3 linked regions of the Callithrix jacchus genome follow. The protein of the gene in region 1 interacts with the protein of each later gene in a biochemical or structural test. Links are inferred from orthologs where the notes say so. Each region holds a gene or a part of one and is shown in the gene's direction. Other genes may lie near its edges.

The links.
Region 2: the proteins of YWHAQ (region 1) and MARK2 form a complex in vitro, tested with the Homo sapiens proteins (2 studies listed by BioGRID, with this or other methods). The link is inferred for Callithrix jacchus from reciprocal best matches to the Homo sapiens genes YWHAQ and MARK2.
Region 3: the proteins of YWHAQ (region 1) and CDC25B form a complex in vitro, tested with the Homo sapiens proteins (2 studies listed by BioGRID). The link is inferred for Callithrix jacchus from reciprocal best matches to the Homo sapiens genes YWHAQ and CDC25B.

The regions. Positions count from the first base shown.
Region 1 is NC_133515.1:105,348,050-105,352,068, forward strand, and holds the start of YWHAQ (14-3-3 protein theta), read left to right. Parts: upstream 1-1,213; 5' UTR 1,214-1,291; intron 1,292-1,702; 5' UTR 1,703-1,784; coding exon 1,785-2,078; intron 2,079-4,019. UniProt on the Homo sapiens protein: Adapter protein implicated in the regulation of a large spectrum of both general and specialized signaling pathways. Binds to a large number of partners, usually by recognition of a phosphoserine or phosphothreonine motif.
Region 2 is NC_133511.1:120,886,269-120,890,367, forward strand, and holds the start of MARK2 (serine/threonine-protein kinase MARK2), read left to right. Parts: upstream 1-1,292; 5' UTR 1,293-1,689; coding exon 1,690-1,743; intron 1,744-4,099. UniProt on the Homo sapiens protein: Serine/threonine-protein kinase. Involved in cell polarity and microtubule dynamics regulation. Phosphorylates CRTC2/TORC2, DCX, HDAC7, KIF13B, MAP2, MAP4 and RAB11FIP2. Phosphorylates the microtubule-associated protein MAPT/TAU.
Region 3 is NC_133506.1:11,323,020-11,327,289, forward strand, and holds the start of CDC25B (M-phase inducer phosphatase 2), read left to right. Parts: upstream 1-1,463; 5' UTR 1,464-2,260; coding exon 2,261-2,460; intron 2,461-3,348; coding exon 3,349-3,494; intron 3,495-4,060; coding exon 4,061-4,112; intron 4,113-4,270. UniProt on the Homo sapiens protein: Tyrosine protein phosphatase which functions as a dosage-dependent inducer of mitotic progression. Directly dephosphorylates CDK1 and stimulates its kinase activity.

The DNA.
Region 1 (4,019 bases):
ACCTGCTGGAATAGGGATCAGAGCAGTGTGAACCCAGATGGCAATTCTCATCCTAAGATGGCACAAAGGCCACTCACCAGAAGGGCAGGACAGTCACCCTACCTGGATGGAGTGAGGGCACTGGGGAAGTGCCAGGAGAGACAGGAGTGCTTTAAAAGGAAAGTGAGATGCCAGGGATGACCCTGAATGGGAGGAGCCTGGGGAAATCTTCCCCACTTCAGCAGGGTGTTCCCCAGGAGAAGAAAATCAGAAATCAATACCCAGGGAGAGGATTTCAGATTTTCAAGTGTCCTCTCACAAATAATACCAGAAACGAAAAGCGTGTGCACAGGCGACAATGATGTGAAAAATTATGTATTTAGACGCATAACCTGGAAAGCCTGAAAGAAACATAAAAATTGATTTTTGGGGAGGGAGATGTTATGGGCAGGCTTTTTTTGGGGGGGAGGGGTAGTTATAGGTGTTTCCCTGCAAATTGTGCTTACTGGCATTCCCCATTTTAAAGAAAACCGCAGAGACTCGCCTGGATCTTCTGGGACATACCTTTTCATAAGGGAATTTTTTTGTTTTAGGTGCCCATCTGAAAACTTGAATGTATCATGTAAATGCCATACTGAAGCCAATGTCTCCATGAATCAATTCTTCTTTAATGGGGATGTGGTTTGCTGAATTCGGAACCCTAGTGGCAACGTCGTTAACGTCTGGGTTTAGTGTCTTGGGATCCAAACCTTTGTCACGGAGGGAAAGGTGGAGGAAAGAAAGGCCCCTGTGCTCCAAACAGCCGATTATGTCACCCTCCCAAGTCCAGCCTCGGCCGGAGCCCGCGAGATGCAATGCACCATCCGCAGCGGGAGACGCGGCCGCCGCCTCGGAGGTCGTGCGCGCCTCTGGGTCTCGTGCCGCACCCAGAAGTGCCGGGGTGGCGGGGAGGCTGAGGGGAGTTGGTAACGGCATCACCATGGCAACAGTGACGTCCTTTTACCCTGGATCTAATTGGAGGAAACCCCGTGGCCGGAGCCGCAGCCTGCCGGCCAACCGAACTTCCCCGCGCCGACCCACCCTCCTAGCCTCCGCGTTCCCTCCCGCCCCGCCCCCTCGCCCCCTTCCGCGCGCTCGGTCCTCACTGGCCCGTGGCGCGTCGGGGGGCGGGACTCTCGGGGCAAGCTCGGCGCGTAATTGGGCGGCGGACCGCCCCTCGGCTCCGGGGTAGGCTGAGACGGGAGGGTCCTCGGCTAAAGCCAAAGGCAGATCAAAGTGGTGGGACTCGCGTCGCGGCCGCGGAGACGTGAAGGTGAGCATCTGGGTTGGCCGCGGGCCTCCTCCGGCCGCTCTGGGCTTGAGGGCCCGGCTGAGGCGCCGCCCTTGGGAGCGGCGGGCTGTCGACGCCGCTCCCCTCAGGGACAGCTCTGGGCGGGAAGGTGCGGGGCCAACGGTCGCTTCCATCTTGGGCCGGCCGGGCGGGGGTGGCGGGAGCGGCCGCGGCTCGGGCTTCCCGCGCGCGGGGCCTCCGTGCCGCCCCCGCCTCCTCCTGCCGCGGGCCGCGGCCTCTCCGGGCGCCTGACGGGGGCGGGGGCTGGGACTGGGGAGAGGGAAATTCAAGCGGCCGCGTGTGCAGGAGACAAAAGCGGGCAGCGGGTCGCATTGTCTGACGGCGCTCCCTCCCTGCTTTTTGTTCTCGCCTCGCCGCCCCGCCCCTCCGCAGCTCTTGAGTCTCCTCCCGCTCCGGGTCGGCGCTCGCCCTCGCTCTCCTCACCCTTCGCCCCGGCCCCGGCCCTGCGCCCGCCATGGAGAAGACGGAGCTGATCCAGAAGGCCAAGCTGGCCGAGCAGGCCGAGCGCTACGACGACATGGCCACCTGCATGAAGGCAGTGACCGAGCAGGGCGCCGAGCTGTCCAACGAGGAGCGCAACCTGCTCTCCGTGGCCTACAAGAACGTGGTCGGGGGCCGCAGGTCCGCCTGGAGGGTCATCTCGAGCATCGAGCAGAAGACCGACACCTCCGACAAGAAGTTGCAGCTGATTAAGGACTATCGGGAGAAAGTGGAGTCCGAGCTCAGATCCATCTGCACCACGGTCCTGGTGAGTCCTCGGCGCGGGGAGCGGGGGAGGCCTTTTGTGGGGTGCTTTTCATCGAGAGTTTCGCGGGCAAGCAAGGAAACGTGAGCCGGACCTTGCCGGACTGTCTGCCGAGGTGGAGGGTTTCAGGCGAGCCCTGGCTTCCCTGGTTCTGGAGACTCCCGAAACCGCTTTTCCAAGGACAAGTCCATCTCTTTTCCCAGATGCTGGGTAGCTACCAAACGATGGAATTTGGAAACATCCAAGTAGGTCTCTGCGAGGCTGAAAGGCGGTTGTAAGTTTTTTGTGCCGGGAGACTGTGTCCCGAGATCTCTGAGCCGTTTAAATGTATTGAGTCGGTTCACCCGCTTCAGGCAGTTGAAAGAAGGCGCAGGCACCTTTTTGTTAGACAGTGTGGTAGGGATTTTCCCCAAACCCGGTAATTGAAATTTACTTCGAAAATCTGAGCAGTTACTTCATTTTTCTAGTAAGAATGTCTGTTGCGCCCCCCACCCCTTATAAACAGGAGAGATGGGGGAGTTGGGTAAATGTTAAAAGGGCACAGCTCTATCTGAAGAACACAATGTCCTGGTAAATTTCAACGTTTAGTAACATTTCTTTGCTGTCGCGTAGCTGTGCACTAGTGTTGAAGCGAATTCGTTTCTGGTTTGGAGCAAGCTTTCCAGGTTTTGAACTGTCCAGCCTTAGCAAGGGTGATTGTTGGGTGGAGTAGGTGGCTGGTGTGATTCACCCTTATTAGTGAGAGAGAACATTTTTAGCTTTGTCATTGCACGAATCTTTTGATCAGTTAGATAAGTTTTTAAAATTGAAATACCAGTATTATATGCAGGAGTGTTTTTTAAACGTTTCAGTGCTGCAGTCATTTCTTTGAATAAAATAGGAAATAATCTGACATGATTTGCCTCTCTTTAAGTGCCACTTTTACATGAGGCCTACTGACTTTTTATGTGTTTGTGCACATCGTATTTTAGGTGGGCTTTGGCATGCTAGACTGGTGATTTTTTTTTTTTTTTTCAAAAGGGAATAGAAAAAATAATTTCGCTCTGGCTCCCTCCCCAACTCCTTGTTTAAAAAAAAAATCCACAGAACTATTTTAACCTATTTTTCTAATACGACGACAGGCGCTCCGAACAAAACCATGGTGGATGGAAATAGCTGGTAAAGGGGCAAAGAAAGTAATGCAGACAGAGTGCGCACTGAAGTGGAGAAAGCTTGAGGTTATTTACTTTATGAAGTCAAAACTTTGTTTTATTCATCGTGTGTTCTTAGCTTCCAGTCCCTGTTTGACGTTGCAGAAGCCCTTGTAAAAGTTCTTTGGACTGAATTGCTTGTATTAAAAAAAATTTGCCCGCTTGAAAGTAATGGTAGACTTCACCTTCAATAACATATGGTAATGGCTGTTAACAGCATTATCTGTTACCAAGGAAAGACTCAAGAATTCCATGTTAACAGGGTTTTCTGTATATGTATTTTGGGTGCTCTCACAGCATATATTTCAGTCTCTTTCTGAAAAGACTATTACTTTGCAGTTAGTAACCTTGAGGCAATTCAGAATCGCCACATAATTTTTCTTTTTCTCCATCAAGGTGACTCTGAGTCAAAGGAATATTTGTTTTATTTTGTGGCTCTTACAAATTTTACTTTTTATGATGGCATAAGTTGGGGGAGAGTTTTGTTTAGTTGATGTGTAGCTTGAGAGAGAGACCAGGTATTATTAGAACTCTCATACAGATCATTTCAATAGGAGAGAACCCCTGAATTTAGGACCGTCTCTTTTATATACTAAGAAGAGATAGAATACTTTACCTTGATGAATCTGAGACACCAAGGCATAAATTAAATATTCATAAAATGGCTTAAGAGGCTAATCGTGGCTTGGTGGCCAGCCTATCTTGGGAAAGCACTTCTTCAAGTTGGCAACTGTATTGAGAGCTTTCTGTGTGC
Region 2 (4,099 bases), on another chromosome or scaffold:
TTCCATGGGGCCTCTGCCTCCCGCCCACCTTAAGCCATGGATGGGAGGGTGTGGTTCCAACGTGTTTCAGCTACTGTGGGTGAGGACAGCTTGGTGCTGGGGAAATCAGCCCAGGATACTGCCTGTCCTTGGTAACAGTGTAAGGGGAAGTGAGGAGTTGACTGCAGTTGCCAAATAGATTTCCTGTTAGTCAAGGGCTCTCCAAAGCCGAGAGGGACCTCAGAGTTCATGAATCCAATGGCTTCACTTTACTGATGGGGAAAATGAGGCCCAGAGAAAGAAAGAAAAGAAACTTTAAATACCTTATCTTGCAGAGGCATTTTAAAAGGTAATTGGAATACAGAAACGTCATTTCGAGTGTCAATGTAGGAGCAAAGGCATAGGAAAGAGGAGCCTAAACTCAGTGATGTTATGTGATCACGCGGCATTTTCACTTGGCAGAGCTGGGGCTGAACTGCAGGGCCCCGGATGCTCCCGCATCCAGTGCAGAGGACGCTGCCCTGGGCCTGCCTGGGGCCTTGCCGAGCCCTGCGGACTAGATGCGGGGATCCATAGAAGCCAAGATAGACGATGGCAAGTGGTGGATAGGAAGCAGACAGGCAATAGACTGATTCTGCATAAGACAGGTATGTTGATAGGCTAGATGATAAAAGGGAGGTGGATTTTATGAGACGACCGACAGACGGACAGAAATGCAGACAGGAAGTTGCTATAGAACCAGAGGATGCTAATCGCAGGGACGGCTAACAACCTTGTTTTGTATTTAGTCAAATCACAAGCACTGACAGGTGACCGACGCTTCCCGTTCAAGATTTGAAAATACCCGAAAACTGACGGAAAGACACGAAGCGAATCAGACTCCGAGAGCCACCCGGGGAAACAACCGGGGGCTCGGAGGGCCTCGGGTGTTGCCGGAAATGGCCGACGACCGCCCTCAGCAGCGCGGCGGGAGGGGGCGTGGCCGGCTCAGCACGCGGAGCAGCTTCGGGTGTTTCCGGAAATTGCCGAAAGCCCTCTTGAAGTGGGCGGGGGAAGACCGGTGGGCGTGGCTGGATGGTTGTGTAAGGGGGCGGAGGGGTAGATACCCGGGGTCGCTTCGTGAATTTCCGTAAACAGAGCCGAAACTTCGTCTTCGGAATCGAGGAGGTGCGCGCGTCCCCGGAGTTTACCTTCTTCGGCTGTTTCCGGAATTCACCCGTAGTCTGTGGCCGGGAGGAGAAGGCGCTCCCCACCTCCCTTTTCTAGCCGCTTCGGATGTTTCCGGCTGCTGCCGGCGGAAAGAGCCGAGGGCCGGCGGTGGTGGCGGCCATGTTGGGAGCAGCAGGTCCGGCGGCGGCTGCCTGTGTGCCGGGCGCGGAGCAGTGCCGCTGAGGGCAGGGGAGGAGCGAGGCAGGCGGCCGGCTGCGGCGGCAGAGAGTAGGCGGAGCGGCGCGGCCCGGCCGAAGGGCGGCACAGCCCAGCCGGGGGTCGGGGGGGTGCGGTCCGGAGCCGCTCGGAGCCGGCGCGGCCTAGCCCGAGCGGCGCATCCCCGGGCTGGCGTGAGCGGCTGCCCGGCCTCCCCGCACCCCCGGCCGGGGCCCATGCGGCGGGTGCTCCTGCTGTGAGAAGCCCCGCCCGGCCGGGCTCCGCGCCTTCCCTTCCCTCCCTTCCTCCAAGCTTCTCGGTTCCCTCCCCCGAGATACCGGCGCCATGTCCAGCGCCCGGACCCCCCTACCCACGCTGAACGAGAGGGACACGGAGCAGGTAAGGAGCCCTGAGGGCTCCCCGAATTCTTTGGCTGGGCCCCTTGCACCTTGCGGAGCCTCCTCCCTCTGCTCTCCTTGTGCCCCTGCTGCCATCCTGCAAGCCTCGGCTGCCCTGTCATCCGGCTCCCGGCTCCGGCCCCGCACATACCGCTTCCGAGTCCTGACCTGGGACCCACCTTGTCCTGACTACAAGCTGTACACTTGTCTTTCTGCCAACCCCCCCGCTCCCCTCACCACCCTCCTGCGCTCTTCCGTGTCACCTCCCCAGCTTCCCTTTCTCTTCCCTTTTTCTCTCAGGGGCCTTTCTGGTCTTCCTCCACCCACGCTTAAAGCAGCCACCCTCCCGCCCCTCGAATAGCAGCACCCGGCGATTTGCCACAGATCTTTGTCCACCTCTCCCTTCGTCTCTCCTGCCTCGCTTCCCCTCCGCCCGCACCGGTTCTGCTAGTCTCTGGTTATCACCCTCAGGGTCCTTGCCCCTGACTGTGCTCTCGATCTTGGCCCCTTGCAATTCCCTCACATTTTCTACCCTGCTTCGTCGTTTTCCAAATTGTGCTCTCCCTCTTGCTTGCAACCCACCAGCTCCACCCTCATCACCTTTCCAAATCCTTCGCCTACTCTTTGCTCATCACTTTCCCTTCTTTTCTCCAGGAGCTCCCTGAATCCTGGCGCTGGCATTTGTCGCTTCCGTGTTTCCCACAGCTGTCATGCGCATAGTTTTCCCACAGGTTGCCTTTGGGGTAACAATCATCACTCCCTTCAGAGTCTTTGGATCCCTCTTGTTCTCTTCCCCACGGGTTTGGCTTTTAAGTCTCTGGGCCTCCTGTTTGTCTCTGTGAGTGTTCTGCCAGCCTTCTCCTGGGCTCTTCCTCCCAACCGAAGGACGCTTGGCCCCACCGCGTTAACACAACCTGTTGCTCAGTCTTTTCCCGGACCTCGCTGCATCACAGTTTTTGCCTTTCTGTCTTTGTGCACTGGAACACAAACCATGATGCCTTTCCGTGTCTTCACTCCCGTGCCTGGCCCTTCTCAGAGTATCTTCCTTGCTTGTTGCCTTCCTGTTTCTCTGCCCTCACCCACCTTCCTTACTGTGCCTTTTAATCAGGGTTGCCCTTCGTCTCCACGTTAGTTTCCTGCCTTCTTCATGTCGTATGTGTCCCCACCATGCTTGGATCCATTCTGTTCCTTTCGGCTAGTCTCTAATTCCCAGGAAGTCCAGGTGTTTTCCGTGCTAGTTTCTTGAGCTACACCTCAGCCTCACGACTTTACACGGTCCCCCCTCATCTTGGCAATCAGTGCTATGGTTTGTCACCCAAGTCTTAGTCTTTCTGGGTCATCTCACTTTGGAGCAGAGAGGCATCCACTTTCCATCCCTCCCCTTCACCGACTCCAGCGTCCTTTGCTGACTGCGCTGTGGAGAGTCCCCTGCCTGTCACACCTTTATTGGTGGAGAACTTTCCTAGGCCGAACAACTTGACTTGAAAAAGGAGCGCTTCTGCCCCAGGGCTGCTGTGCTTTTTGCCTTCTTTCCCCTCATTCTGTCCTTTATGTTTCCCTTTTACTCCCTCCTTTCTTTGTAGCCCAGTAGAGCAGTTGTACTCTTGCATGTGAAGATTCTTCTCTGAAAAATCTTACCTCCTTTCATTTACTGTGTTTTTCTGTTTTGTCACCCCCTGGCTGTCTGCCATCTGGGCAGTTAGGAACTCTGAGTTCCTAACTCAGAGAAGTTCTAGACAAGAGTTTTTCTCTGCAGGGTTGACCCTTCTATTACTTGTGGATTATTTGCTTCTGAGGGTGAAATAGTGGTTGAGAGGGAGGGATGGTTGATTTCCATTTCATCACTGGGTTTGGCAGCTGGTTCTGCATGGGACAGAGGTCTTTGGAGACAGAGGAGCGTGTTCTCTGCCTCACAGTCTTTCTCTCCCTTGCTTGCCAACTGTGTCTTTCTCCTTACTGGGAATCGCTTTCTCTAGGTCCTCTTGAGGTTGCTTATTCCATCCTTTTTCCTCTCACAACCTTTGTTTGAGCAGGTAAACCCTGCTTAACTAGAGAACTTTCCCAGACTGTTGATTGTGAGCTGGTAGGAGGAGGCCAAGTGACTGACTGGCACCCTCAGGCATTTGGGGAGTGGTGATGGAGTGCCTGCTCTTTCAGTGAGGCTGGTTGGGGGGCATCGTGTTCAGCAGAGCAGAGTAGCAGACTGCCTCAATGTGGTTTCTTTGTGCGGGTTACTAAAGGTAAATGTATTATTGCCATGGTGTTTTTCTTGTGATGTGTGTGTTGATTTCCTCTCCTCTTTACATGCCTAGCATACTGCTGAGCATACAGTAGGGAATCCACCGTAGTGCACATCC
Region 3 (4,270 bases), on another chromosome or scaffold:
TTAAATGTGGCTACTCAAATGTTTTAAATTATGTATGTGGGCCAGGCTCGGTGGCTCACGCCTGTAATCCCAACACTTTGTGAGGCTGAGGTGGGTGGATCACCTGAGGTCAGGAGTTCGAGACCAGCCTCGCCAACATGATGAAACCCCGTCTCTATTAAAAATACAAAAATTAGCCGGGCATAGTGGCAGCTGCCTGTAATCCCAGCTACTCAGGAGGCTGAGGCAGGCGAATCACTTGAACCTGGAAGATGGAGGTTACAGTGAGCCTCGATCCTGCAGCTGCACTCCAGCCTGGGCAACAGAGAGAGACTCTTTCTCAAAAAAAAAAAAAAAAAGGCAACGACAACAAAACATAAAAATCCCAGAACCCCTCTGTGGTCTTGCCACCTCCCCCTGGCCCAGAGGTGACCTGACTGTGGGATTTCAAGGGATTCAACATACAATGCCTGCCCTGACACACACACCCTGTGCAGATGTATATTGGCTGGGTGGGGATGAGGGGCATACCTGATCTTGAAAATGCAAACTTCGGAGTGGTTTTATTTCTTGTTTTGGGGGTGGGTGGCCTCACAAGGGTACTTCCCCCTTCCATCCTAGCACTGAGGGTAGTCACGTCCTCACTGGGAGTGGTGGCTGGAGGTCCGGGGCATGACCCCTGACCTAGGGAGGATGAACCAGAAGTTGAGACCTGGAACACAGCACAGGAGCTGAGCAAAATGTGGAGAAAAGGAAAGGTCAGGGTTCCCACCTTGGCCACCCTTCTCAGGTGGGGCTAGGATCTTCCCTTCCCCTTCACATGAATTGGCCCACCCAGCCCCCCATCTTACAGGCCTTCCCTTTTGCCACCCCCATCCAATTTGCCTTGGGTCCGGGAGGCTGGGACTGCACGAGAAGGGGCGCTCCTGCCTTCCTGAACTTCAGCCTTTCCATCCCCCCGCACCTCCGCCCACCCAGCCAGAGGCCACCTCTAACCCCGGGAGACGAAATGAAATGCGAAAGCTGCTTACTAGCCACTGGTTTTCGGGTGCAGCCTTCAGACCCCCCCGTTCCAGGAGGCCTGGAAAACGGGCGGGGCTGGAAGGCATTTAGATAATTGGAAGATGCTCGGCTTAAACGAATGATAAATTCAGCCTCTCTGGTCTGGTCATCAAATAAACACCAATTAAATAATATGGTGCCATTGGCACCAAGTTAGCCAAACCATCAAGGGACGTGATACTTAACTCGCTTCTCTGGCCGCTGACACCCTCCTCGACCCCCAGCCTCGGAAAGCCATGTCTAGTCCCACCGTTTAGTGGGACTACTGGGGCTGCCGCGAAAATTGAATCTGTTGGGGTAACATCTAACCTGGAGTACCCCGAAAGCTCCCGTCGGTTCCGCTTGGGGGCCCCACTCCCCTCCCACCTCCTACGCTAGGCGCTCTGCCTGCGAATGACTTTTTGTTGCTGCTCAGCGCAGCCAGGCGCGGGGGCGGGGAGGCTGCCGGGTCGGAGGCCCAGGCATTGGGCGAATCCTGTCCCACGGCCTGCCAACCGCGAGACCTTGAAGGAGTTAATGAACTTCACACCTCAACGTCCAGGTCTGTAAAATGGGATACCTAACGCAGACAGCACAGCGCAGCTGGGTTTAGCAAATTTCCGGGAGCCGGTTTAGCAAACTCCCGGTCCCTAGCTGTGATCCCAGGTGACGATAAGCTGCAGGGGGTCCTGCGGAGGCCACCCTAGGGCGCTGCTGCCGACTTTGGAATGTGGAATTCCAAACCATGTCGCGAGAGGCGGATTTCAGGAGGCCAGGATCCTCGCCCCAGGGTGATGTGCGGGGGTGTGGGATAAACCCTAATTCCTCTGGCCCACCCAAAGCCTGGAAATCCAGCCTCCGCGCCTCCAGCCCCGCGGGCCCCGCCCTCGATCCCGCCCTCCTCTAACCCGCTACCCCATTGGTGGCGTCCAGCGGCGCGGCCGCTGTTATTTTTCGAATATATAAGGAGGTGGAAGTGGCAGCTGCAACTAGAGGCTTTCCAGGCTGGTGCCTGAGCCCTGCGTCCCTCACACCCCACCCTCCCCGCATCCCTCTTCTCCCTCGCGCCCGGTCCTGTGGCTCTCCCTCCCTTCCTCCCTCCCTCCCTCTCTCCCTCTCTCCCTTCCTTCCCCCCCGCCACCCCGCGCCCGCTGCTTCCCTCGGCCCAGCCAGCTGTCCCGGCGTCTGTTGGAGGCCCTGCGCTTGGCCCTCCAACCAGCCTTCTGCCGGCCCCGGGGCGATGGAGGTGCCCCAGCCCGAGCCCGCGCCAGGCTCGGCTCTCAGTCCAGCCGGCGTGCGCGGTGGCGCCCAGCGTCCTGGCCACCTCCCGGGCCTCCTGCTGGGACCTCAGGGGCTCCTAGGGTCCCCAGTGCGCGCGGCCGTTTCCTCGCCGGTCACCACCCTCACCCAGACCATGCACGACCTCGCCGGGCTCGGCAGGTAGGACACCCCAAGGAGGCTGGATATGGGAGTGAGAGGCCCGGACTGGAGTCCTGGGCCTCCTGGAGAACTGAGCATGGTATCCTAATCCAGGAGGTGGAGTCCGGGGGAGGCGTCCTGGGCAGTGGAGAGGTACGCTCTTGTCCCTTTATGGGGCCCAGGACATGGGAGGTGAGACCTGGGCTGTGCCTCCCACACCCTCCAGGTGACCTGCTCTTGGTCCGCACAAGCCTGCCCGAGTCTTCTTTCCCCTCACTCCCTCCTACCTCACTGTGCCTCCACCACGCTGCCTCCCTAATCTCTACCCAAATAGCCACCTGTTTTGCCTCAGGATGGGAATCCCAAGCCTGGAGGGGGGAACTTGAGTGTGGCAGAGCCATGGAGCACTCACACATCCATGCCCCTGCTCCCTCCACCCTAGTTCTGTGCTCAGAGTTAAGGCAATTACGTATACACTGATCGCGCTTCCTAAGTCTGCAAGGGGAGAGCTGGGTTGTCCCAGTAGGAGAACCTGGTCTTGTTCCATCCTTCAGGAAGGGTCCTGGAAAGGTGGGGGTCTGACAGTTTAGGGGAAGGCCCTCCGGGGCAGCTCTGCTAGACCACCAACCCCTAAGATCGCCTCCAGCCAGGCTGCCTTACTCACACCCTGGGCTCACCTGGTTTAGGAGGACATGTCCTAAACCAGTCAACAAAGAGAAGCTGCTTTGGGGCCTCTGTAGAATGAGCCTGCCTTGACCTGAGAAGAGGGCCGGCCCTTGGGGCCATCACTTTCCCGGTGTAGTGTTTCGCTCAGTTCTTTTCTCAGCGAGTGAGTGGGAACTCAGGCCAGCAAAGCCTTGAGCCCCACATTTACCTTTCTCCTTTCCTGGGTCCCTGTTCCCTTCCCAGCGAAACCCCAGAGAGTCAGGTAGGGAGCCTACTCTTCCGTAGCCGCGGCCGGCTGACATGCCTACCCCTGTCAAGACGGGCATCTGAATCCTCCCTGTCGTCTGAATCCTCCCTGTCGTCTGAATCCTCTGAATCTTCTGATGCAGGTGAGGCCCAGTGGGGGCTGGGGAGGTCTGCCAGTGCCAGGAGAGTTTTCGGGGGCTGCCTGGGCCTCCCGATTTCCCTGCCGATCAAACTAACATCCTCCCTACAACCTGGTGGGCCCAGGAGCCGCTCCCCGACCCTCCACAGAGATGGGAGGAAGGCGTGCCTCTGGTGGGGCTCACCACACCCAACGCAGACTGGCTGAGTGGGTGGGAGGGTGGGGCCCTCCATGGGAGATGAGATCTCACCTATGGAAAAAACCAGGCACCAAAGTTAACCACAGCCCTACCTGGGAAGCACTCAGGACTGAGAGTTGGTCTTTAGAACCTTCTTATTCTATAACCTCTTCTTTGAAAAGCTGCTGTCTCATAGTAAACCGGGAGTGGAACCCTGTACTATTTGGGGAATAATGTGTCAGCCCTCAGGGTCCATGGTTGGGTTTTTGTTTCATTTTCTAATGTGTCAAAGTCCAAACTAGACACGGGTTTTTTCTTCTTATTGAGACATAGTGGGGGAAAGTATACAGAAAGTGCCACAACCCTCAAACCAAGGTGCTCCATCCCCTCAGGTCTCTGCATGGACTCCCCCAGCCCTATGGACCCCCAGATGGCGGAGCAGACGTGAGTATTGAAGGGAATGACTACCACCAAGCAGTCAGCACCTGCCTTTGAGAATCCCAGTTCTAGCAGGAACTCACCAGGGAGGCCTGGGAAAGCAGACAGACCATGGGGTGCCTTCAGGATCTCCGTGGGCGGGGGGACTCGCTGACCTTCTCAGG